Arabidopsis thaliana: one gene and its partner. The protein of the gene in region 1 interacts with the protein of each later gene in a pairwise test. Each region holds a gene or a part of one and is shown in the gene's direction. Other genes may lie near its edges.

Region 1 (7,262 bases):
CTCCACAAGGTTCTGACTCTGGTGTCCAAGAATCAAGAGACTTGGTGTTGTTTAAGGACTTCTTGAATTTCAATAAAGATTCTGATTCGGTTATCGAATTCGCAGAAAGTGCTGTTAGAGATAGCACGATTGGCCAGATTAGCCAAGCCACGGCCATTTACTTAACCGGAGCTAGGCCGCCGGGAGTTTCAAGCAACTCTTTTTTTTTTTTGATTAATCAAAGTAGTTTTTTTTTTTTTTTTGGTGATTCGATTTACTAATTTTTCTGTATTCCTTGTCTTGTTTCTCGCTTTGTCTCTGTTTTCTCTGTCTTTTGTTTTTCTTTGTCATTTGTGATCCATTGGATGAGAGGAACTTAGGAGCTTATGGCGCGAATGTTCGTTGAAAGAGTCAAGAAGATTGAGAAAAGCAAGAGCGAATAAAAAATAAGCTAAAGATATGCATTTTTGGTTGGCCCATATGAATAATGTTGATTTTAGTTTCCAAGCCCAAACTTGGACAAAGTTGATTATCGTTTCTATAAATAATTTTTAAACCGTAGAAGTGACTTAATTACAAGTATAAGTGTTGTAAGAACAACTATCAAGTAAAAGTGTTGTAAAACCAACTATCAAAACTATATTTTTTACGTGTTACGTGTGAAAACTATTAAGTGATACTCCAAATTTTGCCATACTACAAGATAACGCATGTAAATAAATTTTATGGGAAAAACAAATGGTTTTGGCATTAGGACCAAGAGCATATAATCTTAAAACTCGTACAACATTTGGTTCAGTTCTAGCTAACGTGACCTTTTAAGTGGACCACTTCATCATTTGGATTTTCCTCCTGATGCTTAGTTATGTCGGATTTCTAATTTACTCACTATAGCATGACAAAAAATGTATCCCTATGCCGAAAAAAGAAAGAAATTTGATAAATGTAAAACAAATTGACGCCACCAAATGTAATCATCAATCAGTTTTAGCTTTTACAGTTCCTAACTATTTCCAAATATGAGAATATCGAAAGAATAGTTATAAGTTTCTTATGTATCATGAGTAAAATACTCTAATACTCAATTACTCATGATATTATATGCAACTAAACAAAATATTTGTCTAATCTATTAATTTTCTGTAGACCATGACATGTATTCTAATGATTTGACTTAGTGTCCTTGTTGTATTTCTATCCGGTTTCAATTATGCAATTGTTGAAAAAATGTTATTCCTGTTCCGCATGTAATGGATACTTATTAATATGCGATAATCTTTAGGCACATATGTTATTGTCATAGTACAAGAGGAGCATGTGAAGAAGCTGCAACATTTTGGTGTTCACATCCAAAGTATCTGTCGGTGTCAAAGAACCAATTTGTTTTAGTCATTGTTGTAAAACGGACCTACATTCGTAGTCGTTACCCCTAAATTTTAAACAAATTTTATGTTTAGTATTGTCATACGTCAATGCAAATGAGTTGTATAATCTTTCAATATTGTCTTCTAATTTTATTTTATTTTCTGATAAGTACCATTTTATTTATGAAGATAACGACTGTACAGAGAATTCCCACCACAAGCTCAAGCTGCAAGACCAAACTTACCCGAAGACAACCTGTTACAGAGACACGCTAGCTCGTAACACTAGATAGAAAGGAAATCTTACCCAGCTCAAAGATTAAGTCTGAAGCACACCTAACCCAAAACTGTTGACACCATCTTGATTATGTCCATATATGAACTTAGGTCTCAAAACAACAACTATTTATTTGATAAATGTTGATATACTCTATTGCTTAAAGGAGAGTCCAACTTCGAGTGGTGACCGGAAGGTTTCGCCGTTGCCTTTTCTTTTTTGCCGTTAACGTTGGTTTGGTAGTCTTAGTAGAATCTTCTCACAATCTTGATTTTTGCATATCAAATCTGTTAGAATATGACATTCCCTTATTTTGGACATGATCAAATATGTGATCGAAACCCAACTTGCGCTTCCAACAATGTAGATAATCTTCATGTGAAATAGCGAATATTATTTGGTCTTTTGTATGTATTAGAAAATGACAATGGATCTATATTGTGTAATTAAATACACACATACATGTGTATATATTAGACTCAAGTTGTTGTTCAACTCTTGAAATCATATGATATTGAAGAGTCTTCAAAGTTCAAAGTATTATGTTCTCATTTTGCAAGTTGCGATAAATAATTCAATAAAAATGATTTTTTCCCTTGGCGCGATCGTCTACGACATTTTGTTTTAAATTCTTTTTTGGTACTCTTTGGCATTGCCTCTTATTCAAATAAAATTCAACGCTCGACTTCATTGAACAAAACGATTAAAAGATTTTATTATTATTATTGTTATAGAAATAATATTTAACTGAGCAAGTAACAAAATTCATATTAGGACTAAACAGAAATCGTTAACCTTTTACCAACATACAAAACCACAAATTCTAATATTAATTACACTCAGTTTTTGTAATTAAAAACAGAAAAGAAAATTAGGCCTATGAAGTATGAACGCTATAATATCCTTTAGCAAAGAGGGAAAAAAAACGCAAATCATGCATGAAATAAGGTTGGTACCGCCAAGATTCCGACACGTGTTGACATCCTAAACGCACATAACAATACTTCACGTGTCCTTAAACTTTGTCGGGGATAAGTAATTGACACCATTCATCGATAAATATCCACTCACAAGTCGTACTGTTGCTAATGGATCCCACATATTAAATTCGTATTAGCCATCGCAGCCGACGCGAGACTTAACTCCGTCAGAACTCCGTTAGACTATAGCGTTTGCAAATGCCCTCATTTACGCCCTTTAATAACGAATATCCTAACCACCACTAAACGAATTACCTCAGAAGGGTAAATTAGTATTTAACAGAAACTCTTGGGACCCGAATGAATTAAATGGGTTAACGCCTTTATGTAATGTCGCCGTCAACTTACAACAGTTTCTTCACGGCTTGTGCAATGAAAACGTGCCGGAACTTGTAACGAACATTGTAGTTTGATTTTTGTAATCAACCATAGGAATAAATCATTTTTTCCGCATATAATTTATTTCCCTATTTCTATTCGTGACAAAACATTTGAGGATATAGGAAATTAATAGCCTATAATATGTTTGACCATAAAAAGAATTTCTTCTTCTTGAACCATCATAAGAAAAATGTGTGTTTAGTCTATTGATCAGTTTTGTGTTCAAAAAAAAAAAAAAAATGTCTATCGATCAGTTAGGTGTAAAAAAAAAAGTTACAAAACTCGTGACAAAAACATTCTATATTGGACACACATCACTGTCACTTCAGACTAAATAAAAAAAAAGAACACGTTATTTCGTTTTCTTTATTTATTCGGGAGAGGTTAAAAGCCACAGAAACTTATTGGCTAGAATTGGTTATTTATAACAACAACACATGAGCAAAAAGCTCAAAACATCTACATACTCTTTGGAATCCTCGATTTTTTGTACGTGTAAAGAAGTCACACAAGAAAATCTTGGGTTGTTGTAATCTTCATCACACTAGTATGTCAACGGGACAAGCGCCGGAGAAGTCCAATTTTTCTCAGAGATGTAGTCTGCTCAGCCGGTACTTGAAGGAGAAGGGAAGTTTTGGGAATATTAATATGGGGTTGGCTCGAAAATCCGATCTTGAACTCGCCGGAAAATTCGATCTCAAAGGTATTTATTTATTTTTCCCTATCTATTCCGACGGCCGCCGCCTATAAAGACCAAAGTTTATATCATATACTTTTAGTATCCTGCTTCGTTGATTATTAGCATAAAGTTTAACTATATATTTTTTTTGTTGAAATGCAAAATTTTAAATCATTTTTTTCTTTTCTTTTCTTTAAACTTAAGCATGGTATTATTTTGGACAGCTTAAGTATATTAAAGTTAGAGATTCTGTGAAGTTTTTTAAAAAACGTAATAAACATGTAATTTGATTTTGATAAATTTTAATCGGTTTGCAATTTCTGTTCTAATTTGTTTTAGGACAACAAAATGTGATTAAGAAGGTAGAGACCTCAGAAACTAGACCGTTCAAGTTGATTCAGAAGTTTTCTATTGGTGAGGCCTCTACTTCTACCGAAGACAAAGCCATATATATTGATCTCAGGTACTGTACACACAAACTTCATATGTATTCGAACTCCTAAAGTGTTTGTTTTCACATTTTGTAGCAATTGAATTAGAGAAAGAACTACCGGTTATAGATGTATGGACTATGGAGTTTGACTAATTGTAAAAATGGGTTTGATTTGATTTTAGTGAACCGGCAAAAGTAGCACCGGAGTCTGGAAATTCACAGTTGACCATATTCTTTGGAGGAAAAGTTATGGTTTTCAACGAGTTTCCTGAAGACAAAGCTAAGGAGATAATGGAAGTAGCTAAAGAAGCGAATCATGTTGCTGTTGATTCTAAGAACAGTCAGAGTCACATGAATCTTGACAAAAGCAACGTGGTGATTCCCGATCTTAACGAGCCAACGAGTTCCGGGAACAATGAAGATCAAGAAACTGGGCAGCAACATCAGGTTGTGGAACGCATTGCAAGAAGAGCTTCTCTTCATCGATTCTTTGCTAAACGAAAAGACAGGTAAACTAAACTCCGAAACTGTTTTGTGCTTGGTTATGCTTTTTCTAGGCCGCTCGTCAAAATGTATGCATAGATTAGGATCAAAGTTTCTTAAAAAAGTTATATGTAAAAATAGCTAATAATTACCATATTAAGACTTATTCGAGTTATTCTAGGAATCCCACATCGGATTAGAAGCGTATTACCAATCAAGTTTAAGTTGAACATTCATGAAATTGAACATAGGGTGGTCCTAGTATGTTTATGAATTATGATTCCTAGAGTAAGATTTCGAGATGTGACTCAAGTGTCATCATTTATAAAGAACATGTAAAAAATCTTACAAGTTACAATGAAATTCGAGATGGGACCTAGAGTAGTATATAAGAGATATGAGTCCATCATCTATGTGTCCTTGATCTAGGAAAATTATTAGTAAAATGTCGAGAAATTTCTAGTTAAAAAACACTAACTAAGAGTTCTTTGTAAATCAAAACTTCAATATCTACTTTGTCTTAAATGTTGATTAATTGTTTTGATTTCAGGGCTGTGGCTAGAGCTCCATATCAAGTGAACCAACACGGTAGTCATCTTCCTCCCAAGCCAGAGATGGTTGCTCCATCGATAAAGTCAGGCCAATCGTCGCAACACATTGCAACTCCTCCAAAACCAAAGGCCCATAACCATATGCCGATGGAGGTGGACAAGAAAGAAGGACAATCTTCCAAAAACCTTGAACTCAAGCTTTAGGGCGTATAAAATGCACGATCGAGTTCACGTTTCTAGTTTTCACTTATTTAGGATTTGAACCCAAATACCCTTTTATATTTTCTTCCATTACTTTTGACCAATTTAAGTTATTTATAGTACTGTATTACGTAGCTAGTATTTATATTTCAAAACATACATATTTTGATACTTGTTTTTTAGATTCTTTAATTAAAATTGTCATCTGGATTACCCTTTATCGAAATTTTTTAATCACCTGATATAATCTCACCAGTGATGGATTTGCGTTGTTAGTAATTTTTCTAAGTGGCAAAAGTATATTAACCTATAATAGGTTTCAAAGATATACATATAATGTTTCTATCAAAGATATTAGTATAATATTTTACCACATGATCGAAATCTCACCAGTTATGGATTTGCATTGAATGTTCTAGCGATTGGGCTGGACCGTCTCAGGAACCCAACCTTAATGAAAAAACATCGTCTCATTGATTTTAGGTCGTTAAGTCTGTTTTGCCCTTGTCTTATCCCGTAATTACGAAATTAGCCTTCTACCATTTCCTCTGTCTGCTTCTCTCTTGCCGTTTTCTAAAACCCTAAAAATTTCTGTTGAACCCCAAACATTGAAGTTTATCTTTCTTTTTCATTGTTCGATCTCAAAGCACAGAGATTGCTTAAACCTAACTGTCTCAGTTCTTTTAAAAACAGTCATCTCTCACAAAACTCTCTTAACCCTCTTCATATGCTTTGAGAAAAAATGTCAAAGATAAAGCCTTTGAGTAAATCATCGCAGGACTTGAGTCTTCTCACATCTGATATCGCATCATTCGCTTCTTCTATTGGCTTAGCTTCTGCTCTTCCTTCTTCGGGTTTCAACGACACTGATTTCCGAAAACCAGCTAAATCCAAAACCCAGAAACGGAAAAAGCCTAAGAAGGATCAGCAACACAAGGATGAAGATGAAGAAGGAGAGCCAAAATCGAACATTGGGAATGAAAAGGGAAAAGATTTTGGAGCGAGGAAGCAAAACAAAGATGCACCGGTGAAGCAAACGTTACAACCGAAGCCAAAGCCTGGATTCTTATCGATTGATGATGAGAGTACTGGGTACAAGAAAAAACGTTTCGATGAATTCAAGAGTTTGCCTAAGTTACCATTGGTGAAAGCGAGTTTATTGAGCTCTGAATGGTACAACGATGCAGCTGAGTTTGAGGAGAAGGTGTTTGGTGGCCGGAAAGTGGCGGTGGCGAATAAGGAGGATTTTAAGGGTGTGGTGGAGAAGAAGAGAGAATTAGGAGAGAGATTGATGTGGCAATACGCAGAGGACTTTGCAACTTCGAAAGGAAAAGGTGGAGATATGAAGATGGTGATTTCTGCTCAAAAGTCTGGGACAGTTGCTGATAAAATCACTGCCTTTGAGATTATGGTTGGAGAGAATCCCATTGCAAATATGAGATCTCTTGATGCCTTATTGGGTATGTTTCTGGTTTTGTTTTTCAATGGTGAAATCCTCTGTAGCATTTTGTTGATGTCTTGTTCACATTATCTACTCTGTTCATTGCAGGAATGGTGACCTCAAAGGTTGGAAAAAGATTTGCATTTAAGGGTCTTAAGGCTCTATCAGAAATTTTGATCAGGCACATTTTTCTTACTCACACAATGAGCTATGGATTTATGTGTCAGTCTTGCATCTTTTTCTCATTGACTGAGGTTTTTTAAATTCTTTCTTCAGGTTATTACCTGATCGCAAGCTGAAGTCACTTTTACAGCGACCTTTAAACATCATTCCGGAAAATAAGGATGGTTACTCGCTTTTGCTGTTTTGGTACTGGGAGGATTGCTTGAAACAGAGGTAAAGATCTCAAATCATGCCATGAGGGATGTGTTTAATCACACTATGTCAAAGATCTGTGTCTTCTATCCGTAATTGTTCTGGGTCGATGATTCGT
Region 2 (5,936 bases), on another chromosome or scaffold:
TGTTCTCAATGCAATAACTACAAGTCTCTTCTTCTTCCTCTTTTTAAAGCTTGTCTTCTACTTGTGATTACTTGTTCTGAATATTGTGATATCAATCAAGACAAGTATGAAATCACCAAGAGCTCTAAGAATATATTTTTTTCTATCATTTTATTCCTTGGATTTTTGAAGAGTAACAAAACATATATGATTTTCATGAGAAGTTGAAGCTGAGAGAATAATATTTAGAGTTGTATTATCGTGAATTGTTGGTAACGATGATGGAGGCTCCTGGGACTAGGGTTGGGAGATGGGAGTTCACTTCTATTGAGAGCAAGTCGGTGAGGAGGAGTTTCTTTGAAACAATGTGATAGGCGGCGGCGATTTTGTATGTGGGAGACGGTGAGGGGTCTTCTTCACCGTCTCACGGTGGATAGCCACAACATCATCAACGTAGACATTAGGTTGAAAAATTCGACATCTTATGGTATTTAATATGACGATTAAAAAGAGAGAAACAAGTCTATTTATCCTTTGAATTGTTAATGATCCTTTTTAATTTATTTTTCAAACTTATAAAACTATGAATAATAGCATCAGAAATAATAAAAAAAAAACCATGTAACTTTATTGCTTATGAGTCAATCAAAGTATATATTTATTCATGTTGTAGCTTTTCAATATTATTAACCATGTTTGTTTTCATTATTTTATTTTTACATAAGTAACATATTTTCATGCCATTAAAATTTTACAACATAAGATAATTTTATTTTATAATATTCAAATTTCCAATTTCCAATTTCCTCTTTAGTCTTAAGTCTTAACATGTCAATTTTTGTATTAAAAAAAAAACATGTCAATTTTTTGTACAAAAAAAATAAAACCATGTCAATTTAGGAGGAAAAAAAACTGGAAAAGCCTGACAAAGAAAAAAAAGCTGGAAATATCAAAAATAAAATGATAACGTCGCCTGAGAGATTCGAACTCTCGCGGGGAAACCCCATGTACTTAGCAGGCACACGCCTTAACCACTCGGCCAAAGCGACTTTATTGATCATGAATCAATCTAAAATATATATATATATAAACCTATCGTTTTGAATTTTTTTTTTTGGCAAACAGCTTTTGATACTATTATATATATATATATATATATTATCCCCACATATCTTTAGCTATGTCTTTTTCGAAGGAAATTTTGAAGTATTAAATTAAGTGACGATTTACACACATATGGAGTAATTAAATCGTTTTAGCATATCTTGTAATGTTGTCTCTCTTATCCAACTATTCTAAAGAAAGTGGTGACTAGAAAATATAGATTATATACTATGTGACCAACTTTTTAGTATATCTTTATAAAAACGCATAAGATATGTCATATGTGTTTCCTCTAAAACTTGTTAAAGAAATGAAAAATCTGTTGGTAGATGTGAATAGTTATGGACTAGTTTGGCTTTAAAAAGAAAATTGGGCCCATGTATTTCTATTCATGCATTGGACATGTACAATGTACAAATATATTCATGATTGCAAACATGTAGTATATATGCTGACTATACGATTGTTATTTATTCAAAAGTTAAGAAAATGCACAAGATACACATGGACGAAATCGAAACTAATTGTACAATAAAATAATAATTATTAGTATTACGAAGGGAAAAGGGAAATGGTCCGTACTAGTTGTCCGAACCCGAAGAAGCCCCAATCGCTGATGCAACTGTCTAGGAGCCGCCACGCTGCGAAGAAGCTCTAGGGTTTGTTCGTCTTCTTCCTCGGTTTCATCAGGTTTTCATCTTCTCGATTCTGATTTCGGCTTCTGTTTTAGCTTTATTCGGCTTATTGTGATTTAATTTGAGCTGATTTGGCATTATTGCTGTGTAGTTAGGGGTCAGGGTTTTAATCTGATCGCGTCTAGGTTATGATTCTTTTGATGATTTCGATCTTTAGAAAGTCAATTGATTTGTTTCTTCGTATGTAGCTCGTTTAGCTGACAGATCTGCATAGTGTCTTATCAGTTACTAGATCTTTGTGCTATCTCTCACTCTGATTTCTGGATTTTGATTCCTTTTTTTTTTTTGTTAGCTGACATACAAGTGTGAGTGATGTGTGTCTTTGCTTTGTTTCCATTTTAGTTTAGTTTCTCAAAATGGAAATGATGAATATTGGGGGTTTTCAGAACCTAAGTTGTAGAAATGGTCTTTTTTTGTTATCACAGAACTCAAAAGGTACTTGGTAGGAGCGAGAAGAAAGTTTCTGGAGAATTGCTGAATTGTTTCTTTCAATGGTTTTGTTTCTAAGGTACTATCCGAGTCCAATGTTTCTGAGAGTTCTGGTAGCTTGTTAATTTGTTATACTGAATACTAGGATTGATTTTGGCAAAGCATGTGATGTTTGTTGCAAGTTCAAGCAGATGTGTTTCTTTTTATAAATTTAGAAGAAGTTTACTTCCGCAGCCATCTATGATTCTCAAAGTTCTTAGCTTTGCGTTTGATTCTTTTTTCTAGAAACCATTGGTTAGCTTTGGATAATGAGTCCTTTTCTGCCCATGATGTATTTTTCTCAGATGGTAATCAAGATTGTTGACGGTGCTCTGAAGATCTGTTGACCTGCTCAGAGTTTGCTTAAAAAGTTTGAGAAAAAATGGACGATGATAATGGGCTCGAGCTCAGCTTGGGTCTTTCTTGTGGAGGATCAACAGGAAAAGCTAAGGGTAACAATAATAATAATGCTGGAAGCTCCTCAGAGAACTACAGGGCAGAAGGAGGCGATAGAAGTGCTAAAGTGATTGATGACTTTAAGAACTTCCTGCATCCAACTTCTCAAAGACCTGCAGAGCCGAGTTCTGGTTCTCAGAGAAGTGATTCGGGTCAACAGCCTCCACAAAATTTCTTCAATGACCTCTCAAAAGCTCCTACAACTGAGGCTGAAGCTTCTACGAAACCTTTGTGGGTGGAGGATGAGTCACGGAAAGAAGCAGGGAACAAAAGAAAGTTCGGGTTCCCGGGGATGAATGATGATAAGAAAAAAGAGAAGGACTCGTCTCATGTTGATATGCATGAGAAGAAGACAAAAGCATCCCATGTTTCAACTGCGACAGATGAAGGATCAACAGCTGAAAACGAAGATGTAGCAGAGTCTGAAGTAGGTGGTGGTTCTTCTTCCAACCACGCAAAGGAGGTGGTTCGTCCTCCTACTGATACAAACATTGTGGACAACTTAACTGGTCAAAGGAGGAGCAACCATGGTGGATCTGGCACTGAAGAGTTTACAATGCGCAACATGAGTTACACCGTACCTTTCACAGTTCATCCGCAAAATGTCGTCACTAGTATGCCTTACTCTTTACCGACAAAAGAGTCTGGACAACACGCAGCAGCTACAAGTCTATTGCAGCCTAATGCTAATGCTGGAAATCTCCCGATTATGTTCGGATACTCACCAGTCCAGCTCCCTATGCTAGATAAGGACGGTTCAGGAGGGATTGTCGCACTTTCTCAATCTCCATTTGCTGGAAGAGTTCCATCAAACTCAGGTAAGCAAAACCTTCCCTTAAAACACGATTTAGTACTCTTACAGCAAAAATAGTAACTTTTCCTTCCAAAAAGCTACTGCAAAAGGCGAAGGCAAACAACCTGTTGCAGAAGAAGGTTCATCCGAGGATGCATCAGAACGACCAACGGGAGACAACAGCAACCTCAATACCGCTTTCTCTTTCGACTTTTCTGCCATAAAACCTGGAATGGCAGCAGATGTGAAGTTTGGAGGATCCGGGGCACGTCCCAACTTACCGTGGGTCTCAACCACTGGTTCAGGCCCACACGGACGGACAATCTCAGGTGTCACATACCGGTACAACGCAAACCAGATCAAAATCGTATGCGCTTGCCACGGCTCGCACATGTCACCGGAGGAGTTTGTACGGCACGCAAGCGAGGAGTACGTTAGCCCAGAATCATCCATGGGAATGACTGCAGCGTCAGCTCACACCTGAAAAGTCACCACCGGAAAAAAAGATGTCTGAAATCTTGTAAACAAATGGAAGGGTTTGTAATGAGTTTCTTTTTGGAACATACATTTTATTATGTTTAGTCGGATCAAACTCTCAAGCCAAAGTTTTTTAACTGAGCTTTCTGTTATGTTGTTGTAATCTCTCTACTTCATCACAATTCCTTATGTAATCCTCTTCTTTCCTTTTTGTTTTTTGGTTGAAAGGAAATTATATATAACCATAACATTATCGGTGTCCTTTGTTCCTTTGGTTAAAATCTAAACAACTATTTTGGTAAAATAATTCACTTTGATTTTGACTACTATGTAACGACAGCAAAACCTTCAATTATGTAATGTCATGTCAAAACCTGATACCATTGATACGGTTGGTTGTACAGAAAACCTGCAAGAATAATGTCAAACTCTTACTTAATAGTTAATAAATTGATAATGTTGTGGTTAAATTCTATAACAAAGAAGTAATTGAAAGACTAAAATAGTGAAAGTATTGATAAAACGATGATGAAGAGAAATCTCTTTATTGAATATTTCAGCTTAAGGTTTACAATGACAGAGAAGGGTTTATATATGAACCCCAAAATGGTGAGACACTAGGTCACACGTCATTAGCTGCACATCACGACAGAGGAACAAAGAGGATCAAATTTGTTATGAAGGGACAAATGATTAGCTGTGAATCCCGTACGTTGATGCGCTGGAAATTGAGGAATCTTGTTACCGTTGCAAGGTAGAGAAGACTTGAGGTTGATGGGCTTGACACTTTGACTGAGGCCCAAAGTATTGTTGAGTGTTGCAGGTCCATTCGCAGAAAGCAAAGCTTCTGATTGTAGAGGAGGTTCTCTCTGATTCACACACCCCCTCAAACTTGGTGTGGGAGGTAAAACAACGCCAAGTTTGTACCTTAAGTCAAAGAATGGACGTTGGGGAAGAGACTTGGTGAAGATGTCTGCAAGTTGATGAGAAGCAGGGACATGTTTGACAACCAAAGCTCCCAAGGCAACACGTTCTCGAACATAGTGAAAATCAACATCAAAGGCCTTAGACCGGTTGTGCATTGCTGGATTTGCAGTGAGGTAGACAGCAGAGAGGTTGTCACAGTACAACTCCGGTGGTGCAGGTTGATAGATGCCTATTTCACGAAGCAAAGATGAGATCCACTTCACTTCTGTAGCTGCGATAGAGAGGGTCCTATACTCAGCTTCTGTTGAGGACCTTGAGACTGTTGGATGACGTTTTGCAGACCAACTGATTATGTTAGTGCCAAGAAAAGTGCAGAAACCACCAACAGATCTTCTAGTCTCTTTGCAGTTTGCCCAGTCACTATCACTATAAGCACGCAAAGTGATATCCGTGTTGTTGTGTAAGTTGAGACCCATTTGAACTTTTCCTTTGAGATAGCGTAAGACTCTTTTGAGGAGATTGAAATCAGCAACTGTGGGGGAATGCATCTTTTGACACACAAGATTGACTGCAAATTGAATGTCAGGACGAGTAAGAGTAAGATATTGTAACTTACCAGCCAAGCTCCGAAAATAAGTAGGATCAGCAAAGCTTTCTTGTTGACCAGGAACTTTATCCAATTGAAGAGGCAAAGGGGTTGGCATTGGGGCACAATCTGCCATTCCTGCTGCAACAAGGAGATCCATAGCATATTTCTCTTGATGCAAGAACAACCCTTCTCAGTGAAAATGAGCCTGAATTCCGAGAAAGTAATGCAGCATTCCCATGTCTTTCATGCGGACTCTTTATTCAGAGAGACAAGCAGTGTGTCCAACAGTTCACTATTGTTGCCTGTGAGAAGCATGTCGTCCATATAGAGCAAGAGGAACATGAGATCTCTTCCTTTCAGAAACACAAACAGAGAAGGATCTGAATAGGTACAGATGAAACCAAACTCCAAGAGAAAAGTACTGAACTTGTCAAACCAAGCTCTCGGA

Evidence for each region.
Region 2: the proteins of JAZ6 (region 1) and NINJA interact in binary tests that used the Arabidopsis thaliana proteins (3 or more experiments, as listed by UniProt).

What each region holds. Positions count from the first base shown.
Region 1 is NC_003070.9:27,272,405-27,279,666, reverse strand, and holds JAZ6 (jasmonate-zim-domain protein 6), read left to right. Parts: upstream 1-3,104; 5' UTR 3,105-3,530; coding exon 3,531-3,684; intron 3,685-3,999; coding exon 4,000-4,123; intron 4,124-4,275; coding exon 4,276-4,602; coding exon of another isoform or gene 4,603-4,606; exon of another isoform or gene 4,607-5,126; coding exon 5,127-5,331; 3' UTR 5,332-5,699; downstream 5,700-7,262. Other genes in the region: AT1G72460 (Leucine-rich repeat protein kinase family protein), read right to left, coding at 1-157; EDA25 (CCAAT-binding factor), read left to right, coding at 6,071-6,788, 6,878-6,950, 7,046-7,165. UniProt on the Arabidopsis thaliana protein: Repressor of jasmonate responses.
Region 2 is NC_003075.7:14,262,373-14,268,308, reverse strand, and holds NINJA (Putative interactor of JAZ), read left to right. Parts: upstream 1-1,522; 5' UTR 1,523-1,773; intron 1,774-2,164; exon of another isoform or gene 2,165-2,203; 5' UTR 2,204-2,286; intron 2,287-2,551; 5' UTR 2,552-2,628; coding exon 2,629-3,520; intron 3,521-3,593; coding exon 3,594-3,979; 3' UTR 3,980-4,275; downstream 4,276-5,936. UniProt on the Arabidopsis thaliana protein: Acts as a transcriptional repressor. Negative regulator of jasmonate responses. Connects the JAZ proteins and the non-JAZ protein TIFY8 with the TOPLESS corepressors.